2 linked regions of the Rattus norvegicus genome follow. The protein of the gene in region 1 purifies or fractionates together with the protein of each later gene. This does not show direct contact. Links are inferred from orthologs where the notes say so. Each region holds a gene or a part of one and is shown on either strand. Other genes may lie near its edges.

Region 1 (12,296 bases):
GGACATCGGAGAACAAAGGTAACTAATATAAAGAGAGCAATCCAGAGTAATCTGGATCAAACCCTAGGCCAGAAAAAGAACATTCATGGAAACAGTGATGAGTCAGAAATTTAAAAACCTCAATTAAAAAATAAAAATAAAAAACAGCCGGGCAGTAGAGGCTCACGCCTTTAATCCCAGCACTTGGGAGGCTTTGAATTTGAGGTCAGCCTGGTGATCTACAAAGCAAGCTTCAGAATGGTAAGGGCTACATAAAGTAACAAAAAAAAAAAAAAAAAAAAGGGAAAACAAACAGCGCAGCGCAGCACAGCACAGCACAGCACACTTGTAATCCCAACACTGGGGAGACTGAAGGATCGCTGTGGCTTCTTGCCAGCCAATCTAGCCAAACCAGCCCTTTTCTTTACATGAACCGGTGAACAATTTTGACACTAAGTCTTTGGAACTGAGATTGACTTTTTCAAAAATACTAATTAGCATCTGTTAATTATACATTATGCATTTTAGTATGGCATTGCATATCTATCTTGGTCATACTCACATGGCCCTCCCTCTCTTGTCCTACTTCTAAGGGTCACTGATCCTCTTCAACTAATACTCCCTCTACTTCCATTGGAGGTGGGGGTGGCAATGAACTTCATTAGTGTTGTTTACAGGAGCACAGGCACCTCGTCAGTGGCTACACCACTGAGGAAAATGAATCTCCTTCCCCCAGCAAACAGCTCCGGAAGACTCTCAGGGAAGGCTGTGTTGGGAGGGAGAAGCCCTTGCTGATCCATGACAGGAAGCCAATGGTTCAATCTTGGGAAGGTCTTACATAAGTACTCATAGCTGCTCCAGGAGTTCAAAAATGCTAATGGCTTCCATGGCTTTTCACTCTCAGAAAGACTTCACAACTTCTAAGGTCCCAATAAAAAACATGCAATAGACAAGAAAGAGAAAAGCAAGACAGACACAGTATTTAAGAGATCAAAGGCCACCTAGACCCAACTATAGATGTCGTATTCCATGACTGCGGCCATCTCTGCATTTTAAGTTTAGAACTGGAATTTACAATTCTACCTTAGCCTTCTCAGTAGCCTACAATTACAGGCATGGACCACCATGTAAACTTCACAAACCCTCTTGTCAGAACTGTGTACCTAAGACTCCCAAGGTTCCCCTGCCTACTCTAGGAGTACAGGAACATGTCATTAGTCCCTACTCAAAACAGCCTCTCTCTGTTTTTAAATCTCTCTGTTGGAGTCTGGTGGCAGGCATTTAATCTCAAGTTAACTGGAAAGCTAAAACAGGAGTATCACAAGTTCAAGGCCTACCCAGCTACAGAGCGAGTTCAAGGCCAACCTGAACTCCCCTTTTGACCAAGTGTTGAAATACAAAAGAGAAAAGTTCAGTGGCAGAGTATATGCCTAGCATGGAAAACGGTCTAGTAAAGCCCCCAGTCTGAAAGCACGTGTGTCGGGCTGGGCATGCCTCACTGCCTGCACTCTCACAGAGGGCTCAGTTCAAGTCACAGCACCCACAGGAAGTCACCACCACCTCTAACTCCAGCTTCGGCAGATGACACCTTCCTACAGACATGCATGTACCAATACACATGAAATAAAAATAAGGCTTTTTAAAAGTGTGTGTGTGTGTGTGTGTGTGTGTGATAAAAAATTTTCCATGAATTTTAAAGTAGATGTTTATCTAAATGTTATCTGGCTTAAATTTAAAAATTTTAGGGTTGGGGGGATGCATTTGGAGACCATAAATTCAATCAATGTTGGCAACAAAAAGCAGGGTTTTTTCCTTTAAATTATATTCTAGGGGTGCTGAAGAGATAGCCCAGCATTTAAGAGCACTAGATGCAGAATGTTCCAGAGGATCCAGGTTCAATTCCCATAATTCCAATTCCAGGGAATTCAAGTCCCTTTTCTAGCTCTTCTGACACCAGGCATCCATTAGGTGCAGACAAATAAGAAGGAAAAACACCCATAAACATAAATATCAATTTTTAAAAAAAATTAATCATATTATAGTACCAAAGCAGCAATTTCAGCCCCAACTTCTACAGGAAAACAACAGGCAGACCACTCCTTTCTCTTTAAAAGGCAGAGGGAGCAATTTACCAATGTCTCTTACTAAGACACTCCAATGTGAAATTCAGACAGGGTAATAAAAAGTAAGTCACATCTAAAATAGCTCACATAATGGCACTCAGGTTTTGGTTTTCTGTCCTTTCCGACTTTTCTCTGAGACAAATCTGTAGGCCAAGCTGCCCTGGAATCAAGACTGGCTTTAAACTCCTGACTCTCCTGGGTACTGAGATTTGCAGCCTGAACATTTAGTAAAGGTTCCAAAAGCTGCCTGTCTACCTGACAACCACAGACATGATGCTTCGGACACTAAAATCACATTCCTCACAGTAAGGACCCAAATCACCTTTCTTCCAATTGTTCTACAAGGAGGAGGAGAGAATGACAGGGGCCATCTGCCTGGCATGTGCAAGTACTGGATTTGACTACCAGCCACATACACACTCACAAACAAAACAGTAAAAAGCAGTGAAAACTACATGAAAGCCAGGAATGATATTAATACACTGTCAGACAGATAACTGATTAGTCCAATTTTATTATCAAACACTTAAAAGGGAAAGGCACTTAATTGAAACAGCTCTATTTCAGAAAAGCATAAAAGTGTAAAAGACTGCTAACATTTTCAGGAAATCTGGAGTCTCATTTTAAAGTGAAGGAGGAATAGGAAGAAAAGATCACTGTCATTAAACTGCTCTGCCCAACCCCAGAGAAGGTTGCTCACTTTTAATCAGAGCATCTGGGAAATGGGTATTCAGTCATTCCCATCTACACAGTGAGGTTTGGTTTGGTTTAGCTTTTTAAATTCACTATGGGGGCTGGGGATTTAGCTCAGTGGTAGAGCGCTTACCTAGGAAGCGCAAGGCCCTGGGTTCGGTCCCCAGCTCCGAAAAAAAAAGAACCAAAAAAAAAAAAAAAAAAAAAATTCACTATGTAGGCCAGCCTGGCCTCAAACCTCAGGCAATCCTCCTGCTTCAACCTCCCAAGTACTGGAATCATATGATGAGCCACCGTGCCGTGCTACTTTGTCACCTTAACTAATAAACAATCATGAGACTTCAGCTCAATCCTTAGGGCCCACATGAACTTACTCTCACAGACTGTCTTACACACACACACACACACACAGAGTAATAAATATAAATTTTTCAAGCACTGGGATTAAAGTCTTGCGCCACCACCTGGCTCTATTAAAAATTCTTTAAACTTTGGTGGCTTAGGAGATGCTTGTGTGTCTGACAAGCATGGGGACCAGAGTTAGAAAGCATCCACTTCATTTAAAAAACAAAACAAAACAAAACTGGTGTGGTGTCCCATACCTGTTATCATCTCAGCACCAGGGAAGTAGACAAAGGAAGATCCCTGACGCTAGCTGGCTGGCCAACCTAGCCATTTCTGTGAACCCCATATCCCAGTGAGAAACCTTGTCTCAAGAAAATAAATAAACAGGGGCTGGACAAGTGGCTCACTGGTTAAGAACACTGGTTGTCCTTCCAGAAGATCCTAGTGTGGTTCCCAGCAACCACATGCAAGCCCAAACAATCTGTAATTCAGATGACTGCCTCTTCTGACCTCTTGGACACTGCATGTACACAATAAGGGGGAAACACTCAAAAACACAAAATGAAAATAATAAAAGGTAAAAATTAAATGGAAAGCTCCTAAGGAATGAAACCCAAGGTTGGCCTTTGACCACCAAATGCATGCAGGCATTCGTACACATACACCCAACACTCATACATGCTCATACATACAACACTCATACATACATGAGAACACACATGCACACACAAAGCTTAAGGTCTGTGTTAGAGCTCAGCTGTAGGATGCTGGATAGCTTTAACACGCAAAGCTATAGATTCAAATCTCAGCACTCAGCAGGCAGAGACAGAAGATCAGAAGCTGAAGGTCATCCTCAGGTATAAAGTGAGCTTGAGGCCAGGTTGGGATCCTTGATAATTTGTCTCATGATAAAAAATAAATAAAACTTCCCTAGAAGCTAATAGATTATGACAACTACTTCTTGTATGAGGTTAATTAGTATCAAGTCTGTATTTATATCTGTCTATCTCTCTTTTGAGACAAAATCCCTATGTCACCGTTGACAGTCTAGAATTCTCTAATATAGACTGGGGTGGTCTTGAACCTTCAGTGAGCCTCCTGCCCTGCCTCAAGTGCTCAGAGCACAGGCTCCTCCACTCCTGGCTCTGTTTAGCATCTTCAATCAGTGTGTTGGAATAATCACTGCCTGCTTCACTCCCTAGCTCTGAAAATCAAATCTTGGGCCAGCAGCATATCTCAGTGCCTATAGCCATGACTAAAGACAGTTACCACCCCAGAACCTGCATAGTAGCCAGAGAGAACTGATCCTGCAAGCTGCCCTCTGACCTCCACCCATTCACTGTAGCAGTCACGTGCCCCCTCTCCAAACATACAATAAGTGTAAAATGTCAAAGCTGTCTTCCAGATCTCCAGAAAAAAAAAAAAAAAGTTTTGGCCCTTTCCATATACTTTACCACACAGTTCACATCACACTGTCAGTTAAATGCAAGTGCCTCAGACATTACTCTTAGTTAATATATGCTTGCACTTAAAATAGTAATAAAATATCTATCATCACCTCTAATCTTGAGCAAGTTTCATAAATCCTTTCCTCAAACTCCTGGTCAATTTACTACACAGTCTAGAATGCAAATATAAGCCAGATACTGGCATGCTTGAGAACTCAGGAAGAATGACTAAAGCACTGTCCATTCAGGGCACGGTGACTCCTATCTGTAATGTCAGCACTTGGGAGGCAGAAACAGGAAGACTGCTGCAAATACAAAGTCAGCCTCATTTACAAAGGGTGTTTCAGGAGAGCCAGGACGACATCACAAAACACAAAAAGAGTTATTAGCCTTGCTATTTATTAGCCATTCCTCTTCCATTTCCTCCAGAAAAATCTCCCCTGCCTCACTTCTGTGCTAATAACTCTCCTTTTTTAGAGAGCACGTTTTGCTCTCTAAAATTATTTGTTTAGATTATTGGGGGAGGGACACACATGAAAAGAACAACCTGCAGGTGCCAGTTCTCTCCTTCCACCATATAGGTCCCAAGGATGGAACTCATAAAGGTGGCAGATGGCTTCCTCTGCTGAACTACCTTACATGTCTCTTCTAGAACAGTCTTCCAAAACCCAACAGCCAACCAGAACAAGTGACTCTGCCCTAAAGTCACACTGTCCTGACCCATGCTGCACATCTGCATGCTCTATCTCCTAGTATCTGACATGTATAGAACCTATTTTGTATGTTATGTTATGTTACAGGCCCCTTGAGGTTAAGGTTTACACTCCTAAGTCCTAGCTTGCTTTAAAATGATTTATACTGTTTACAACATGATCTGGATAGCTGTCCTTTTTACATACTCATGGACACACTACTACCTTAATAGGTAGTAAAAATGACTGTCTCTTGTACTACTTTATAAAAAGAGAAATAGTCTAAGTAACATCTAACTTTGGTCATTTATAGTTAAATCTCTTACAGTATTTAAAAATATAAGAATGCGGTACATAAAATAAATAAATAAATCTTTTTAAAAGATACATATAACAAGGGCTGGAGAGATCGCTTAGTAGTGAAGAATATTTCTCTTCTTGGAGAAAACTCTAACTCCATTCCCAGCACCCACATCAGCTGGTCACAAGTACTCTAACTCCAGTGCCAGGGGATGTCTCTAACCCAGCAGTCCTCAACCTGTGAGTGGCAACTCCTTTGATGGGGGTCAAAGGACCCTTTCACAGGAGTCACATACCAGATATCCTGCGTTATCAGATATTTACATTATGATTCATAACGATAGCAATATTACCGTTATGAAATAGACATGAAAATGCCATGGGTAGGGGTCACCCCAACATGAATTGTATTGAAGGGTCATAGCATTAGGAAATTTGAGAAGAATAAAAATATTTAAATACATATGTAACAAATATAGGAATCTTCTCAAATAGAAATTAGAAACCTTCCTAACAAATCCATGTTCTTCTCTGTTTCCCTAAAATCTAACTAGGAATCCCAATAACTTTTCATGACATGTCATGGAACCTCATTCCCTAAACTGATTTTGTGCTGGGAGAGGGGCTGCCACCACAGTAAGTGTGTCACCATATGAACTGTTCCCAACTTCTTAAAGAAATACAAAAGCCTGGGTCAACCACAGAGCTCTGTGGATAAAGTGCTTATCTGAGTTCAGTTCCCTGAAGCCACCCACAAAGGGAGAAAGAACAAGCTCCCAAAATCTGTCCCGACCTCTGCCGCAAACAAAGTGGCACCTGTGCACCTGCAATCACATGTGTCACAATAAAAATAAAGTATGTAAAGTTCTACCAAGATACCAAGACTTCTGCTTAACCCAAATGAAAAAGCACATTTCAGTATTAAACCAGCCTTAGAAAACTTGAACTTAGAATGTCTTTTGCAAGAGCCATGTGACACACACATGACAAGTCAGCTGAGCTGATGGATGGACCTTTCCTGGGGACACACTTAGCGGGGACTGACCAAAGCAACAAATAAGCCCAGGTTTTAGGGCAGTATTGATTTCTCTTATTAAAAAAAAAAAACAAAACAAACAAACAAAAAAATCCCTCTCCCTTAAAGATTTCTGACACTAAAGTATAATAAAAATGACATCTCTTCGAGTTATTTTCATATATGGAAGCCAGAGGAGAATTTTAGGGTCAAAGAGAGAGCCCAACAATATCTATCCAAGAAAAGACAAGAGCAGTTCCCATGAAGGTGCCAGGTGTGTCACATCTGCTAGAGTGACTTCTTGAGTAAGCAAGAAAAAGGAATGCATTAACTTTTCATGACACGTCATGGAACCTCATTCCCTATCTACAGGCATTCAACCAGGTAATCTAAAACCTACAGTTCTATCATCAAAGGCCCCATTAGTTTCTTTTCAAAATTGTCTGCAAACTTGTACTTTAATTTGGTGGTGCCAGGAAGACGTTTCTAGTTTATTTTTAGTTCAGTTTTGTTGATGTTGTTAACCTACCGGAAACAAAAGGTGACTGAGAGACTCATGTGTCCCCCTAAAACAAAAATTTCACAAATGTTCAGGATTTTAGAAGGGTCACATCTCACAATTCTTACACAACTCTTCCAGGAGACAAGCCCTAAAGGAAACTAAACATTGTAAATAGCTTCTCGCCATCTCCTCATTCCCCTCAAGCCCACGCAGTCCCAAGAAGCATCCATATTACCAGAAATCCAACCGTGAGAGAGCTCTAACAAGCTCAGGATTTACAAGTAAAGCTGGTTTCCTCCCTGTCGACGCTGACAGCTCCGCAGAGCCGGCGCAGGGTCTGACAGTGCCCTCTAGCAGAACTCTCCCACCTACCTCCCCTTAAAAACAAGTCCTCCTCCAGCCGTCACTGCCTCCAGGGACGCGCCCTTCCTGGCCGCTGTCCGAGGCCCACTCCCCAACGCCCGGCCGCGGCACCTAGCTCCCCGCCGGCTGCGCCCCGGACCCGGCCCGGAGGCCCGACCCCTCCCCGCTGCGGCCCTCGGCCATCAGACAATGGGGCCCTCGGGCTGCTCCGTCTCGTTCGCCTGGTCGACCTTCCGAGTGCTGCGCAGCGAGCCTCCAGGCGGCCCTCACCCCAGCTGGACGCCCTCACCCCGGCCCGCCCCGGCTCTCCTGCACTCACTATTCGGGATTCATGCTGGACATGTCACTGCAGCTGCCGCCGCCGCCACCGCCCTTGCTGACGCAGCCGCCGCCCCAAGCCTCCGCGCCACGGGTAAAGGAAGGGGAGGAATGAGCTAAGCTGTTCCGGTAGAGCAAACGTCGACCCCACTCCGACCCTTAGAACACAATCAGCAGCCGCCGCCACTCAGTGATCGCTTCCACCCAAAATGGCCGCCGGCGAACCAGGAACTGGGGAAGCCTAGGCCAAGGGGCCTGTCGCGGCCCAGAGGGCGGCAGCGTCGCGGGGCACGCTGGGAAAGAGAGTCGTGAGCACTCCGCGCGCTGGGCAGCCTGACGAGGCCGAGGGCAGCCTGCACTCGGCTTCCCACTAGGCCCCACGTCCTCTACGCATGCGCCCTTGCGAGCTTGTCGCCCGCCCCGTCCCGATTCCCTCACCCCCACACCCCGCCCTTCCTGCTCCCCTCCCCGCTGGCCTGCTGGCTAGGACTTCGCTCGGACTCCCCCTAGCGGATTGGCTAAGGTCGAGCGGACTGTGTTGATGTCATCAGTGAGACGTGGCAGCAGGGCGAGTCAGTGCCCCACGGGGAGGGGGAGGAGGAAGGAACCGGGCGGAGGGAGGTGCCGCAGCCGAGGGGGAGGGGGCTCCCAGGAACGCTGGGACGCGAATGAGGCGGGGTGGGGACAACTTGACGAGTTCTGCTCTGGCAAGAACGCAGTGGCCAACCCCATCAGAGTCTGGGGCTGCTCTAAGGACAAAAGGAAAGTCAGGTGGCCTGTGTAGCCTTGGGCTTTCACACTCACCCGACTCCTTTTCTGATTTTTTTTTTTTGTTTTTACCGTTTTACTCTAGCAACTTGATGTTGAAATAGCTGCAAATGGACCCTGCTCCAGTCTCTCTTCTGCCCCCGTCCATTTGCACACGCAATCAGATTTACCTGTCTGAAACTGCTCCTCCATCTAGACCTCCCAACCTTTGAAGGCTCTGCATTGTGCTTTTGAGACTCAGGCTAAAATGAACCTTAACCTAGTCTTTCTACTTGAGGCCTTAAAGTTGAATTGGTTTTTGGGGTTGGGTTGGTTTGTTAAGTTTTGGGGGTTGTTTGTTTGTTTTGCTGTTGGTGCTGCTGCTGTTTGTTTTTTATTAGTTAAATTCTGTGTCCGTCTGTAACATTGGGTAATAATAAGTGTCTTTTTAAGCCAGGAAACTCATTCTGGACTCCAGAACTAATATTAATACATTTTTCAGACCTTAACTTTAATCAGCTCAGGAATTTAAATCTCCACTAAACTTTAACACATTATCTTGGGTTATTTATTCCAAAGGGCATAATATAATACACTGTCCAAAGTTTATCTTCCAACTTGTTCTAAGCAAGAATATTATCTCCAACTGCGGATTTACTTTTAATTTCTGAATTTCAGTGACACAAAAATAAGCAAAAGAGGCTGTTCTCATCTCTAACCATATACTCAGTATATTTTACACATCCCTCTGGACTTCCTCCATGTGACTTGACAGCCTCATCAGACCATACATAGATAGGTTTTGGGGGTTTTGGTTTTTTTTGTTATCGTTGTGGTTTTTGGTATTTTGAGACAGGGTTTCTCTGTGTAGCCCTGGCTGTCCTGGAACTCCCTCTATAGACCAGGCCAGCCTCAAACTCAGAGGTTCACTAGCCTCTGCCTCCTGAGTGCTGGGGCCATCATGCCCATCCTATATGGCTCTTTTCTGTGTTAACTTCTGAAATAACCCTAGACGGATGAATGAAGCACCACACATGTTTAGATATGTCCTCCTATCATTTCACAGAATAAAAACTCCGAAGTGTCCCCAAACTCAATTTTTCAAGCAAAGATCTTGTTGTTATTGTTGTTTTTTTTTTTCTGTGATTTATCATTTAAGCCAGACAGAGTGAAGCAATGCCTTTCATTCCTGCCCTTGGGAGGCAGAGACAGGTGCTTCTCTGTGAGTTTGAGGCCAGCCTGTTCTACATAGTAAGTTCTAGGACAGAGCTACACAGTGAACTTCTGTCTCAATACCCACCCCCAAATCTATCATTTAATTTTAATTTTATGTATATGAATGTCTTGCCTGCCTGCATGTATGTATGTATGTATGTATGTATGTATGTATGTATGTGTTCCATGCATGTGCCTCTTGGCCTCAAAAGCCAGAATAGGGCATTTGATACTCTGAATCTTGAGTTACAGTGTGATAGATGCTGGGAACTGAGCATGGGTCCTCAACAAGAACAAAAAATGTCCTCACCAGATGAGCCATCTCTCCAACCCAAGCTGGGGTTTTAGTGGCGGTATTTTAATATAGGCTTAAGGGCTGGAGAGATGGCTCAGTGGTTAAGAGCACTGACTGCTCTTCCAGAGGTCCTGAGTTCAAATCCCAGCAACCACATGGTGGCTCACAACCATCTGTAATGGGATCTGATGCCCTCTTCTGAAGTCAGCGACAGTGTACCCACATACATGAAATAAATAAATCTTTAATATAGGCTTAAGCATGAAGGTTAAGGAAAGCAGACTCTCAGAAAGAAAGCACTACAGAGTGCACTACCACCATACAGAGAGGCTACCACCAAAACTCCATTTTTTTTATCTGTCTGCCTCCTCAGAGGTAAATTTGCTCAACTTTCTTTCATTAACTATTTAACTTCCCAACAAATCATCTTCTAGTAACCCCCCAAGCCATCATGGCTGTGGATTAGTGAGTGCCAGCTTCCTATATCCTACTGCAACATAGGTGTTATTGATATTAAGGTTCCTTGGGCTGGAGAGATGGCTCAGTGGTCAAGAGCACTGACTCCTCTTCCGGAGGTCCTGAGTTCAAATCCCAGCAACCACATGGTGGCTCACAACCATCTATAACACTAGTTTTATAGTAAAGCACTTTTCCTGGCCTCTAGGTGGTGTACATACATACATACATTCATACAGGTAAAACATTCAAAAAAAGAAATAATAATAATAATAACAATAACAATAACAATAATAATAGTATACTTCCTGCCTTCCCAGACAGGATCTCACTGTGTGGCTCTGGCTGTCCTGCTCCCTGACCACACTGGCCTTGAACTCACAGAGCTCCAGCTGTTTCTGCCTTCCAAGTGTTGGGATCAAGTTCCTGTGCCACTACTCCCAACTCTTAGATGTATCTTAAAATAATCTCTTTCTTCCTCCCTCTCTCCCTCTCCTCCCCCCATTTCTTATGTAGGCATATATATGTGTCTGCCAGCATTACGTGTGACCATGTGTCCCTGTATAAAGGCTAAAGGTCAACCGCACATGCCTTCCTTCCTCTGCCACTCTCCACCTTGCTTTCTGAGACCAGGTCTCTCACTGAACCTGGAGCTCGATCTCCAGTTGGCCATTGAGCTCCTGGATCCTTCCATCTATGCTCCAGCACAAGTGCATAAGATGTGTATCACCGGCTTTCACATGGGACGAAGGGTCCTCCGGTAAAGTGCATATGCAACACTTTACCCACCAAGCCATCTCCCCAACCCCCAAACGTTACCGGTAGGTAACGAATTTTGCTGGTGCGAACTTATTATATTTCATGTTTACCCTTTGGCCAATAGTTCAGATTAAAAACTCAAAGCAGGGGTTGGGGATTTAGCTCAGTGGTAGAGCGCTTGCCTAGGAAGGGCAAGGCCCTGGGTTCGGTCCCCAGCTCCGGGAAAAAAAGAACCAAAAAAAAAAAAAAAAAAAAAAAAAAAAAACTCAAAGCAATCCAAACACTGGTGGCTCTCGTTTGCAACCCTAGCACTGGAAAGGCTGAGACAGGTGCATGGGTGGGAATCTGAGGAGAGTCTGAGCCACACAGTGAGTTCTAACCTAAGCTCATGTGAAACTCACTCAAAGACAGAATTTGCCTACAATCTCAGAATGATTCACTGAAACACTACACGCTCTTCTGACTGCCCTGAGGTTGAGGGAGAGCCTTTCTGGAGGGTGGAGGTCTGATCTGCAGCTGAGCACAGACACAACACGAGTGAAGCTTGGCTTTGAGTCTCAGCATGACAGAGACAGCAGAAAGGCCCTCCTAGGTAGCTCTGCCTTTAAAAGGGAAAAAGGAAAAAAGATTTATATTTATATATGTGTGTATGTGTCTGTGTGTAGGTATTCACACATGTGTGCTGGCACCCAGGGGAGACCAGAAGACAGCATTGCATCCCCTGGAGCTAAAGTTACAGAGGGTCCTTGGATAGAATTCTCATCATCTGCAAGAGCAGCGATTACTGTTAACCCCTGAGCTATCTCTCCAGAGCCGCCTCCTCCTCCTCATTCACATTTATTTATCATTTATTTATTTACCTGTGTGGGTATACAGGGGTGGGGGGTGTACATGTCAGGGCACACACGAGGACAGAAATGTGTGGGTGTACGGAGGTACCTGTCAGGGCACACATGTGAGAAGGGCCGAGACCAAGTCTCAGGGCTTCACTGTCTCAACAGACGGCTTCTGAGATTTAGCTCGGAACACCAGTCCTGGCAGCAAGC
Region 2 (12,118 bases), on another chromosome or scaffold:
ATACCAGTCTTGTTAGTCTAGAGAAAGGAGTAGGCTAAGGCAACACAATAAAGGACACTGTTTCAGATGACAGTGAGATTAGGCAGGGTCTTTGGCATCTTATTGGCAGGAAGGAATCATATGGCTTTTGAAGATGGGCATTACTGGCAGGAGAAAATGTAAAGGCCCTTGGCAAGGGAGTGCTCTTACTGAGTTCTAGGGGGTGCTTGTGTGACTGGAGCCTAGTATGTGATTGAAAGGTTAGGAGATGATCTGCTAGGTCACATAGAGATGGAGGAAATGCCACAAGAGTTTCGGTTGGTCTAAAGGTAGGAAAGCCTTGCGTACGTAGCACAGAATCTAGAAGAGGAGGCTAGGAAAGGAGGCTGGGATTATGTATACTAAACACAATGAGTTTAGGGAAGCTGGTTAAGACTGCCTCTGGGCCTAACTGGGAGAAGCCAGAGGAAGCTAGCTGGGGGTTGAGGGAAGGAGGAATAAAACACTTTTAGACAGTAGAGAGAAGGGCATGAGATTGGCATTACCAAGGTCCTGAGAGATCAGAAGTCTGCTTCCTCCATTGTGTTCCAATATCTTCCTCTCTCCTAACTCCCACCAACAATGGTAGGGCAAGGACTTCTTCCTTTGAAAAGGATCCTGCCCAGACTGTATAGAAGTTCATTGGCTCTGCCTTCTACTTCCCTCTTAGGAGACATGCAGTAAATATCCTTTGTTGTCCTCTTCCTCTTCTCTAACTTCCCTCTTCCTCCCCAGCTCTTCTTGCTGTCTGACCCTTGTTTTGTAGGTTATCAAAACTAGCTGTCCATAAATCTCCCAACCCTATGGCTACTTTCTATATCTTGTCGTCATGCCATCAGAGTGCTGGGGAGAAAGAATAAGTCTTCCACTCACTCACACCACAAGTCCTGATGGTTCACTCTTTTGTTATCCCTGAGAATTCGCCCCTTCATGTTCTGGCCCCTTGTTCTTTGTGTAGCCTCCTAAGACATCTCTTCTGCTTCCCTTTTAGCTAAGCATTGAGGATTTCACAGCATACGGTGGTGTGTTTGGAAATAAACAGGACAGTGCCTTTTCTAACCTGGAGGTAAGGGTCTACTCACAGCCAAAGGAAAGATAATACATTCTGTGCTCTCTCTCCCAGAGAGAGGGCCAGAGGCTTTGAGGGTAGAGGGCTTGGGATGTGACTGTCTAGGCCTGGAGATGTGGGACATTTACTTTCTGACCTGTTGTGAAATCTAATCCCTATGGGGTGTGGCTTTCCAGGTGAGGCTTTAAGAGATTATTATAAGGTCCACTGATCCCTGGCTCACTTTGCCTTCCACGTCTTCCTTACCATCAGAATGCCCTGGACTTGGCCCCCTCCTCACTGGTACTTCCTGCTGTGGACTGGTATGCAATCAGCACTCTGACCACCTACCTACAGGAGAAGCTTGGGGCTAGTCCCTTGCATGTGGATCTAGCTACCCTAAAGGAGCTGAAGCTCAATGCCAGCCTTCCTGCCCTGCTGCTCATCCGTCTGCCCTACACAGCCAGGTACAGCCTAGGTGGCAAGGCCTCCAGCCCCTAGCCTTGCACCTCAGATAGGGGTAAGATCCTGAGCTCTGTTGGTGGCAGAGTTCAGTCAAAGGTGACAGTATCCCTATTCACCACCTTAAGACTCTTACAGCAAGTTCCTTGTATGCCAAGAAGAGGTTGTGACTTAAAAGTATCCACCACTGAGTTAGGTCTATTGGGCCTCCAGAGATGAGACTGACATTGTTCCTACTTAGAGAAAACTTCTTCACCAACAATGCCCACTTTATAGGACTGTGGACATACTTACAAAGACCAGAAAAGGGAATGGGATTCCAGGCAGGGGTACTGAAGCAAATAGAGCTGCGGAGGTGGGGATAGCTGCTGTTGAGCTAAGCCTCTGCGTAACTGTCAGAGCAACAGGTGAAGGCCACAGGCTTAGTAAGTGGGACTACTGGGAAGGGAGATGCTGGAAGGGCTAAGAAAAAAGTAGTGAGTTTCAGAGAACTGTTCCAGGCAAGCTGTTTGTATTTGAGAACAGAGCAACCTGTGGGCCTCTCACTTTTTTTATCCATAGCTCCGGTCTGATGGCGCCCAGGGAGGTCCTTACAGGTAATGGTAAGTATGTTACTGGATGATTTGTGTCCCCATTTTGCCCTTGGGCCAGGAAAACAGCTGGTTTCTCCTCACTGCAAGGATGCCCTCCTGTTTCTCAGAGTGGTTGACTGCTTGCATATATGTTCTTCTATAGCCAGCACCACCTGACAGAGGTGTCCAAGTACCTTATGATCCCCTGTGCAAGAGCCCCAAAATCTAGTTTTTGCACAAGTCTAATGAGTCTCTCTGTATTTAATAGACAAGTAACATGCAAAAACAATTAGGAGGGTTTATCTTTGTGGTAAAGAACAGTTCATGTGCATGGAAAGGGAGTTAGATATGGAGTTCTCTATATTACTATAAGTTTTGTTTTACTTAGGTTAAGTTTGCCATCAGAGAGCCAATGACAGAGACCATAGTTGTCTCCAGAGAGACTGGCAGAGTGTGTAGAAGGAGAAATAGCTGTTTTAGAGGTCCTCAGTGGAAACTAACATCACTGAATTCTCATAGTCTAGAAGGTCTCTGAAGCAGACAATGGGTAGTATTTCTTTAAGCAAGCTACCCAATGACTTGGCTCTCTGTTCTCTTGTCACTCTTCAGATGAGGTCATCGGACAGGTACTGAGCACACTTGAGTCTGAAGATGTTCCTTACACCGCGGCTCTTACTGCAGTCCGCCCTTCTAGAGTATGTATTCTTCTAGTGGTGGCCCTGGGGGATAGGGGTGAGAGGCATTGTGGTGAGTGTGACTGGCGATGGAGGGGTATGCCATAGACAGGATCTCTCAGGAGCCTCCAGTTTGGGGGATTAATGGACAGAGGATTGCTTCCTCCATCCATAGTGTCTTTTTTCCAATTTGTTTATGCCACTTGGACAGTGTGATTATTAGTTTAGGGAGATGGAATATCAGGGCTAGGGACTTTCAGATGGTATACAGGGTACCCAGTGTGGAAGGAATACCAATCCAGTGGATTAGGTTTTGTTTTTAGGGCTGTTGAGAGAAGGCTTGTTGAATGTTTCTGCAGGTGGCCCGTGATGTAGCCATGGTGGCTGGGGGTCTAGGTCGCCAGCTGCTTCAGACTCAGGTGGCATCACCTGCGATCCATCCTCCTGTGAGTTACAATGACACTGCCCCAAGGATCCTGTTTTGGGCACAAAACTTCTCTGTGGCATACAAAGACGAATGGAAAGACTTGACCTCCCTCACCTTTGGTGTGGAGAATCTTAACTTGACCGGCTCCTTCTGGAATGACTCCTTTGCCATGTAAGGGAAAAAAAGGTTATCCTGTCATATATGGTTTTCCTGCTACTGTGAGCCCAGTACAGGACAAGGATGTGGGATGGATGTGTGTGTGTGTGTGTGTGTGTGTGTAGGTATATAGGTATATATGTTTGGGGTGAGAAAGGTCTTTGTGTGGTGTGTTCACCAAGGAGATGGATATCACAGTATCCCAGGTGATGTTGCTGGGATGTTACTGGAGAGGGATCCTCTTAGGAGTTTGGCTTTCTCATGCTTTTATGTCTTGGTTGTTGGGTCCTGAACACCACACAATCCTTTGGGACCCTGGCCCTTCTTTGAACCCAACCCCTTGGACTGCATGTAGGCAAATACCAGACCAACTGTTAAAACCAGTTCTAGGTCTTCTACCCTTGAAATCTCAGCTGGCAGCTAAATGATCCCAAGAAGGAGGCCTACAGGACTCAGGAAAACCAGAGTAAGGAATCCTAAGCTGGAGATGTAAGACCTAATTGTGCTCCAGCTGCTCCTAATTTGGTTATGACTGGAGCCTTAGTTTTCCCATATGGTAAATGGGGACACTGTATTGACAGCTGGCTGGCTATAAGGATGGATCTAGGGTTGCTTAGGTTGGAGCCAACCTGATCAGGATCTTCTTAAGGTTCTTCTAGAGCCTGACAGTACTCCTGTGCCTTGTCCCATAGGCTTTCACTGACCTATGAACCACTCTTTGGTGCAACAGTGACATTCAAGTAAGTTCTGTTGGCTGAAGTTTGGCTGGGCTGGTATGTCTTCACTCTATTTTGTTCATCTGACATCTCTGCAACCCCCACCTCCCAGGTTCATTCTGGCTAGTCGCTTCTACCCAGTATCTGCCCGATATTGGTTTACCATGGAACGACTTGAAATCCACAGCAATGGCTCGGTTGCCCATTTCAATGTTTCCCAAGTCACAGGACCTAGTATCTATTCTTTCCACTGTGAGTACGTCAGCAGTCTGAGCAAGAAAGGCAGTCTCCTTGTGACCAACGTGCCCTCCCTCTGGCAGATGACTCTTCATAACTTCCAGGTATTGAAAGGGTGATGGGCCCCCAAGCTGGTGGCAATAAGGGGCGGGAAAAAGGGCCCAGAGAATCTCTGCATGGTTTGAGCATGTAGCCGAGAGAGTTCCATCCTTGTATAGTCTCTGAAGGTATAACTATTCATTAATTCCAGAATCCCAGCACTGAACTGTTTGTAGAACCTTGTGGTCCCATCTGATCCATGTCTATGTATCTCCTAGATCCAAGCCTTCAATGTGACTGGTGAACAGTTCTCCTATGCTAGCGACTGTGCTGGCTTCTTCTCTCCGGGCATCTGGATGGGGCTGCTCACCACCCTCTTCATGCTTTTCATATTCACCTATGGTCTGCACATGATACTCAGCCTAAAGACCATGGATCGCTTTGATGACCACAAGGGCCCCACCATCACTTTGACCCAGATTGTGTGACATATACCAGAGAGGGATTGAGGGAGTATTGGTGTCTAGGTTTCCATTTTGTGACACAGTGGATGGAAAGGTTTGTCCTCTTCCTACTATAGCATGAACCCTACATACACCACCCTCAGCCTGTCTTGCTTCCTCTTTCCTGGACAGGGACTTCCCTGAGGCTATCCCCCACTTCTACCAACAAAGTGTATTATTCTTCATAGATAAATCTTCCAGGCTTCATCAAGAGGGGAAGGGACCTTAATTCTAGGGTGCCCCCCTTTCCCTTTCTCCTTATTTATTCTTGCCCCTCTGCTATTATTTCGTGCTGTTTATAGTGCTTTTGTGTAGTAAATACTCACTCCCCAAGCTTTATGGAGCTTTCCAGCAATAGCCATGAACTTGAGGTCCCTTGAATTTGAGAGGTGTGGAAAGGCTAGTTAACTGTCCAGCTTAGCCTTTATGGGTTTTTTTTTTTTTTTGGCGGGTGGGGGTTAAGAATGAGCGGTACACTGGGGTTTATTTCTGTGACCTGAGAAGGAAGAAATCACCACGAGAACTGGAGAACAAAGTGTACTCATTGGGTTTCTGGTTTGTTCTCACAAGGATTGCCTGTCAAGAAGCCAGAAGTATGTGTGTGTGTGTGTGGGGGGGGTGTGCTCTGTTGTTTCATTCCTAATAAAATAAAGACGTGTTGCCATGTGTTGGGCTCCAGCCACTTATTTCTACACTGGACAAGTAGATTTGTTCTTGACTGAAGGGAAGAACTGCTCAGATGTAGTCCTGTCAGGCAAGAAATGAGAGAGGAAGGGTGGGAGGGTCTTCAGTAAGCCGATACTCTTAACAAGCCGGAGAAGAGGCTTGTTACTTTTCCTCGCCATGGGAGGAATCCTGACAATGGCAGCTCTCCCAGCGCTAGGGCCAGCTGCAACAACACACTGCAGGGCTTCCATGCCTTTCTGTTTCTCCCAGGGGCGGTACGGGAGCGCGCGGGGCGGGGCGGGGCGCGCGCAGCTCCCGCGCAAGGATCCTTCGCTAGACGTAGCACCTGCCGCCGGCCTGCCCCGCCCCGTATTTCTCTGGGCTCACGGAGAGCCGCGTTAACCCCTGCAATCATTCTGGTGCTGGGACCCAGGTGCCAGAACCCCTCCTAGAAAACAAGCGAGGAAATGGTGGCTTTGGTTGGGCGTGGCTTGGCCAGAGGAGGGAGAGGGACTCATTGACGCTGCGTAGGGATCGGGAGACGACCGATAGACGCCATCTTTGGGTCAGTGCGGCGGCAGCGGCAGCGGCAGCAGCAGCAGCAGCAGCAGCAACAGCAACAGTAGAGGCATTGGTAGCAGCTGCTGTGGTGAAGGAGGAGGAGGAGAAGAAGAGCGGGCGCTGGTACCAAGGCCTGACCATGGATGAGGAATACGATGTGATTGTGCTGGGGACAGGTCTTACCGTAAGTGCCACCTCAGGCGCTCGTAGCCCTGCATCATGCCATCCCCCACCCCGCAGTGATGCAGAGTCCGGGTTACCCGACCCATCCTCCCATCATTGCGTTCCTGCCTCCAGCCCTGGAAAAGCCCATGCCCACCCCACTACCTCATCCTAGAGTGTTGATGCCAGTTCGCAATTCTTCGTAGAGGGCCCCACTTTGGCCAGTATTCCAGCACCCTAGATCTTAACCACGGACCCCTCACCTTCCCTATCTGTGTCACTGAGGTGGAAAACTCACCCCCCTCACACACACTGGACCCGTTGCATCCAACCCCACCCTTCGCCTGCACTCATCACCTGCTCAAGTAATTGATTAGCATCTTTTACCATCTTGTGATCACACTAGGGCATGGAGTATGAAGATAAAGATATGGGGGCTTTTCAAGGGTGGGCCCTCATCCTGCCTCTCTGCCTTTTGGGAGGGATAGGGAACCCATGGAATGTTCCAGAAACAGCGGGAGGGAGGGAGGGAGGGAGTGTGTGTGTGTGTGTGTGTGTGTGTGTGTGTGTGTGTGTGGTGTGTAGGGAGGGGGTGTTAGTGACCGCTTTCCCTCTACCCCAATTCGGTTTCCCATGGAGACCTCAGAGTGAATATATATCCTCAGCCTTTGTCCTTGGGTTAGTGACAGTGACTGGTGAGAGTGTCCGGTGTCCCCGTCGCCCCCCCCCCCCCCCGCACAAATCTTTTTTCGTTTGAACCCTGAGCCTAGAGCAGTGGATGCACAGCCAGAAGAGAGTCAGGGGCTCCTGCCCTTAAAAGGAGGAGCAGGGTGGAGCCTGGGATTTCAAGGACTTGGCCTTATCTTTCAAAGAGCCTTTGAATTGTTTCTTCTGTAGACTCATTGTCTTGTCTTTTTGTGAGCTCAGAGCAGGTAGATACTTTTGGCTTGTTGATGCTAGAAGAACTGTAAGCTCTGTCCCCCAAGCCTCCTTTAATGCTCTAGTAGTTTACTCAGCAGGGTTATAAAGGAAACATCATATGAAGCTATCTTCCCCTCCCCAGTTTTAGGCACTGGAAAGAGGTAGGACTTTGCATTATGAATTTTGTAGTGGGCATGAGGCAGGGACAAATCAGAGATGCTCATTGGAGGGTAGATGAGGTATAGCTGCCAATGCCACTCTTTCCCCAGGAATGCATCCTGTCTGGCATCATGTCTGTGAATGGAAAGAAGGTGTTGCACATGGACCGAAACCCCTACTATGGGGGTGAGAGCTCTTCTATCACACCCCTTGAGGAGGTAAGATTTCTTATTCTCAGACTTGGGCTTAGACCCAGACCCCTTGTTAGTCCCCCACATAGGTGTAAAGGGGGGAAGTAGTTCTCAGGTCCCAGGCAGGAGAGTGGGGAAGGGAAGCTAGTCCTTGACATTTGTCTTTCTTTCCTGTCCTGCTTACAGCTATATAAGCGCTTTCAGTTGCTGGAAGGGCCCCCTGAATCAATGGGCCGGGGCCGAGACTGGAATGTTGACTTGATCCCCAAATTCCTCATGGCCAATGGTGAGGGAGATTAAAAAGGGCGATGGGGGTGGTGAGTAGGAAGATGGGGTATGGGGTGTTCAATCTCCAGAATATGATCAGTCACACTACTGAGAGTTTTTTGAAGGAAAACACACCCTTACTCCCTTTGGACACAGGTCAGCTGGTAAAGATGCTACTGTATACAGAAGTGACTCGTTATCTGGACTTCAAGGTGGTAGAGGGCAGCTTTGTATACAAAGGGGGCAAGATCTACAAAGTGCCATCTACTGAGACTGAGGCCTTGGCTTCTAGTGAGTATGAGTCTCCTTAAGCAGAAGAATGGGGCTGGAGGGGACAAACTGTTTTCAGGACAGTTGGGCAAAAGGCTCCTCTTTGCATAAACCTAATCTTAGCTCCGTGTAGTCCTAGAGGCCCCTTGCTTTATAGTTTCTTTATTGGACAGTGCTACCAATCTTGGCAAGTTGCCAGAAAGGAAGTTCACAGAAGAGGATTCTTTTTTGTCAAAGGGCCTACTTGCCCTAAGTGGAGCTGGGAGGGTCTCTTCCTACAAATAGGAAAATTGAGACCAAGAAAGGTGGAGCAGTGTTGCATAAGAGAGTTCTGGTGGGAGCCAAGGCACCAATTTTCCTGGCCTGCTCTGTTAGAAAGAGGAGCTCTATGTCCGAGTAATGCAAATGATCTTTTCAATACCTTTCTTTCAGATCTGATGGGCATGTTTGAAAAACGACGCTTCCGAAAATTTTTGGTGTTTGTGGCAAACTTTGATGAGAATGACCCCAAAACCTTTGAGGGTGTTGACCCGCAGACCACCAGCATGCGTGATGTCTACCGGAAGTTTGACCTGGGCCAAGATGTCATTGATTTCACTGGCCATGCCCTGGCGCTCTACCGCACTGATGAGTGAGGGGAAAGCTGGCTGGTGATGGGAGCCCCTTGTCTGGCTCACACCCTCTCCACACCTGCCTATTGTACCTACTGCCCATCCTGCATGTCACTTGTACTCAGCTCCAGGCTCACCTGTTCCATTTCCATCCCTCTCCATTTGACCCACATCTTTGCCAGGTCACAAAGGGTGGTGGGAAGGCTGGCTGGTGTCTTTGTAAATGAACAAGGGTGCTGCTATCAAAGCATATTCCCTGGTTCTTTTTCCGTAGTTACCTGGATCAGCCATGTCTTGAGACTATTAACCGCATCAAGTTGTACAGTGAGTCCCTGGCCCGGTATGGCAAGAGCCCATATTTGTACCCACTCTATGGCCTGGGTGAGCTGCCTCAGGGCTTTGCCAGGTGAGGATCTGTCTTTTTCAGCTAGCATTACTGGTAAGACAAGGCCAAGAATGGAAATTACCTTGAATATTTTTGTGGCATCTCCTACTTTCCCATCTAATTTTCATGTATATTACTGTATCCCTGGGTAATGGGGGCATAGCCCTAGTGCATTAAAGTGCAGAGTAGAGGTTGGAGAGATGGCTCAGCAGATAAGAGCACTTGTTTACACCAAGGACCCGGGTTCAATTCCAATACCAATATACATGGTAGTTCACAACCATCTATAATTCCAGTTTTAGGGAATTCATAACCTTCATCTGGCCTTCATAAGCACCAGGCATGCATGTGGTGTACAGATATACACGTAAACAAAACACACACATGTGTGTATGTGTGTGTGTGTATATATATATATAATTTTAAAAGTAGGTGGAAATACAAAGTAAAGAAGTAGGTCACCATGAACATAGCTTCCCCCAGCTCTTGGTAGTACCAGGACTAAGTCTAGGACCCCGGAACCTTGTGTCTGGGCTTCCCTGGAGTTTGAATCTCTTACAGAGAGTTCTTTATTCTTGACTCCTAGGCTGTTTCTTGGTTTGTTTTTGTTTTGTTTTGTTTTGTTTTTTTGTTTTTGTTTTTTTTTTCGGGGCTGGGGACCGAACCCAGGGCCTTGCGCTTCCTAGGCAAGCGCTCTACCACTGAGCCTAATCCCCAACCCCTCCTGGGCTGTTTCTATGTGGAGCTACTTCTTCATGCTACCTTCTGTTGACCCTTTGCAGAACAATATGTACAGAAACACCAGAGAGGAAGGAATATGTCAGTATGGGCCCTAAGTTTATGGGAGGGACACCTGAAACAGTTGGAGTTAAACTCTGTATACCTGTGTTCTCTACCCCACTGGTGGGGTGAGGAGGGTACAGTAGAATTGGTCCCCACATTTCTGAGAAGACTTCCCCATCATTTTTCTTACTACAGATTGAGTGCCATCTATGGGGGAACATACATGCTGAACAAACCAGTGGATGACATCATCATGGAAAATGGCAAGGTGGTGGGTGTAAAATCTGAGGGAGAGGTAAGCCTGCCCTGTGCATTTGTATTACCATGGTTTGGGTAAGATTTGGTCTTTTTCAGAGCTATGTTCTTAGGGAACCTTATTACTTCTTAACCCTGAGAACCTTATAGCTAAAGCCTGGGTGGTCAATAAAACTCTACATAGTTATTCCTGTTGGCAAGAAATATCCTTCAAACTACAAGGTGTAGTGGCACACAACTGTATTCCTAGTACTTGGGAGGCCAAGGCAGATGGATCTAAATTAATCAAGAGGTATCCTTCAGAAGTCACATACTTTGTATTCCTGAATGTATTCTTTTGGAAAGGGTGTCCTGTATCCCAGGCTGGCCTCAAATAGTGTATATAACTGAAGATGAACTTTCAATCCTTGTGCTTCCACCTTCTTGATGCCGAATTACAGGTGTGTGTCAAGATACCTGGTTTATGCATTGCTGGGAATCTAACCCGGGGCTTTATGCATGATAGGCAAGCACTCTACCAACTGAGATAGTATGCCTATCCCTCAACCCCCAACTATCCTTCAGCCTTGGGTGCTGAGTTTTGGGCCAAACACTCTCAAATAAAAAACTTTTTTTTCTGGCAACAGAAAAAAAAGTTTTTGTGATCATTGTGTTTCAGCAATAGGGTTATCTAGCCCTGTATGTGAGGACTGATCTCTCTGAGCTTCAAGGAAAGGGTTATGTACTACATACAGGAGGGACAGTGATGACAGCTCAGAGCTGTCTGGCTTTACTTTTGGCTCAGCTTAACACTACCTGGGACAAGGGAATCATCCAACAGGTGCAAAATCTTCTGCTACCTTCACAGGTGGCCCGCTGCAAGCAGCTGATCTGTGATCCCAGCTACATCCCAGACCGTGTGCGAAAGGCTGGCCAGGTTATTCGCATCATCTGCATCCTCAGCCACCCCATCAAGAATACCAATGATGCCAATTCCTGCCAAATTATCATCCCTCAGAATCAGGTCAACAGGAAGTCAGGTAGGCCAGGCTGTAAGGGACTCCCTTCTGTTGTTATGCCTCTCTTCTCACAAGAAATCTTGGGGATTCTTGTGACATTTTGTTACAGAATATATCTGGGGATTGGATGGCCAGGGCACTTACTTTCTTCATGAGAATGACAGTTTGGATGCTGTTTACATGTTTGGTTGAGGGCAAGGGGCTTGTGGTCCAGATATCTGTCTAGCCTGTAGGAACTACCTTTTTGTGTGGCTATTTCCTCTGGTACATGTTAACCAAGTGGCTTCCTGTGGTCAGACATCTATGTGTGCATGATCTCCTATGCACACAACGTGGCCGCACAAGGCAAATACATCGCCATTGCCAGCACCACCGTAGAGACTGCAGAACCAGAAAAGGAGGTTGAGCCTGCATTGGAGCTGTTGGAACCTATTGACCAAAAGTGAGAGGCTGAGCCAAACTTGATGGGGAGGCTGGGGACTAGGAATGGGCAAGTCCCATTATAAGACTTTTCCCTTCTTCTTTTCTTCCATTTACCCCTCAGGTTTGTGGCTATCAGTGATTTATATGAGCCCATTGATGACGGTTCAGAGAGTCAGGTAAAAAGGCTGTCCCTGTCAGTCCTGGTTCTTGCTGTCTACCCAAGATCCTCTGCCTGACTTCTGTGAATCCTGGGGTTCTGCCTATTTACAGGTGTTCTGTTCCTGCTCCTATGATGCTACCACACACTTTGAGACAACCTGCAATGACATCAAAGATATCTACAAACGCATGGCTGGTTCTGCCTTTGATTTTGAGAACATGAAGCGCAAACAGAATGATGTCTTTGGAGAAGCCGATCAGTGATTGCTGACTCCCCTCCTCCAGCCCCTGTTCCCCTCTCCCCAACTTGTGTGTCCTTCTCTAGGGCAGGGGAGATGGTATGGCTGGGCATCCCTGTTTCCAGCATCTTCTGCTTCCCCCCACCACATTCCAATCACCCACCTTAATTGATTTGATTCACTGACCATATCCTTAACCTTAGTGATGGTTTGGGA

The links.
Region 2: the proteins of Rab1a (region 1) and Gdi1 purify together in Homo sapiens (affinity purification with mass spectrometry; 7 studies listed by BioGRID and IntAct, counting the BioPlex papers as one, with this or other methods). This does not show direct contact. The link is inferred for Rattus norvegicus from reciprocal best matches to the Homo sapiens genes RAB1A and GDI1.

The regions. Positions count from the first base shown.
Region 1 is NC_086032.1:98,619,360-98,631,655, reverse strand, and holds the start of Rab1a (ras-related protein Rab-1A), read right to left. Parts: upstream 7,980-12,296; 5' UTR 7,803-7,979; coding exon 7,780-7,802; intron 1-7,779. UniProt on the Homo sapiens protein: The small GTPases Rab are key regulators of intracellular membrane trafficking, from the formation of transport vesicles to their fusion with membranes.
Region 2 is NC_086039.1:157,232,806-157,244,923, forward strand, and holds the start of Gdi1 (rab GDP dissociation inhibitor alpha), read left to right. Parts: upstream 1-6,094; 5' UTR 6,095-6,218; coding exon 6,219-6,263; intron 6,264-7,431; coding exon 7,432-7,539; intron 7,540-7,698; coding exon 7,699-7,798; intron 7,799-7,935; coding exon 7,936-8,070; intron 8,071-8,481; coding exon 8,482-8,680; intron 8,681-8,934; coding exon 8,935-9,066; intron 9,067-10,023; coding exon 10,024-10,123; intron 10,124-10,930; coding exon 10,931-11,102; intron 11,103-11,378; coding exon 11,379-11,523; intron 11,524-11,625; coding exon 11,626-11,680; intron 11,681-11,774; coding exon 11,775-11,927; 3' UTR 11,928-12,118. Other genes in the region: Atp6ap1 (V-type proton ATPase subunit S1 precursor), read left to right, coding at 1,010-1,084, 1,340-1,533, 2,090-2,130, 2,710-2,795, 3,134-3,372, 4,050-4,097, 4,186-4,414, 4,628-4,837. UniProt on the Homo sapiens protein: Regulates the GDP/GTP exchange reaction of most Rab proteins by inhibiting the dissociation of GDP from them, and the subsequent binding of GTP to them. Promotes the dissociation of GDP-bound Rab proteins from the membrane and inhibits their activation.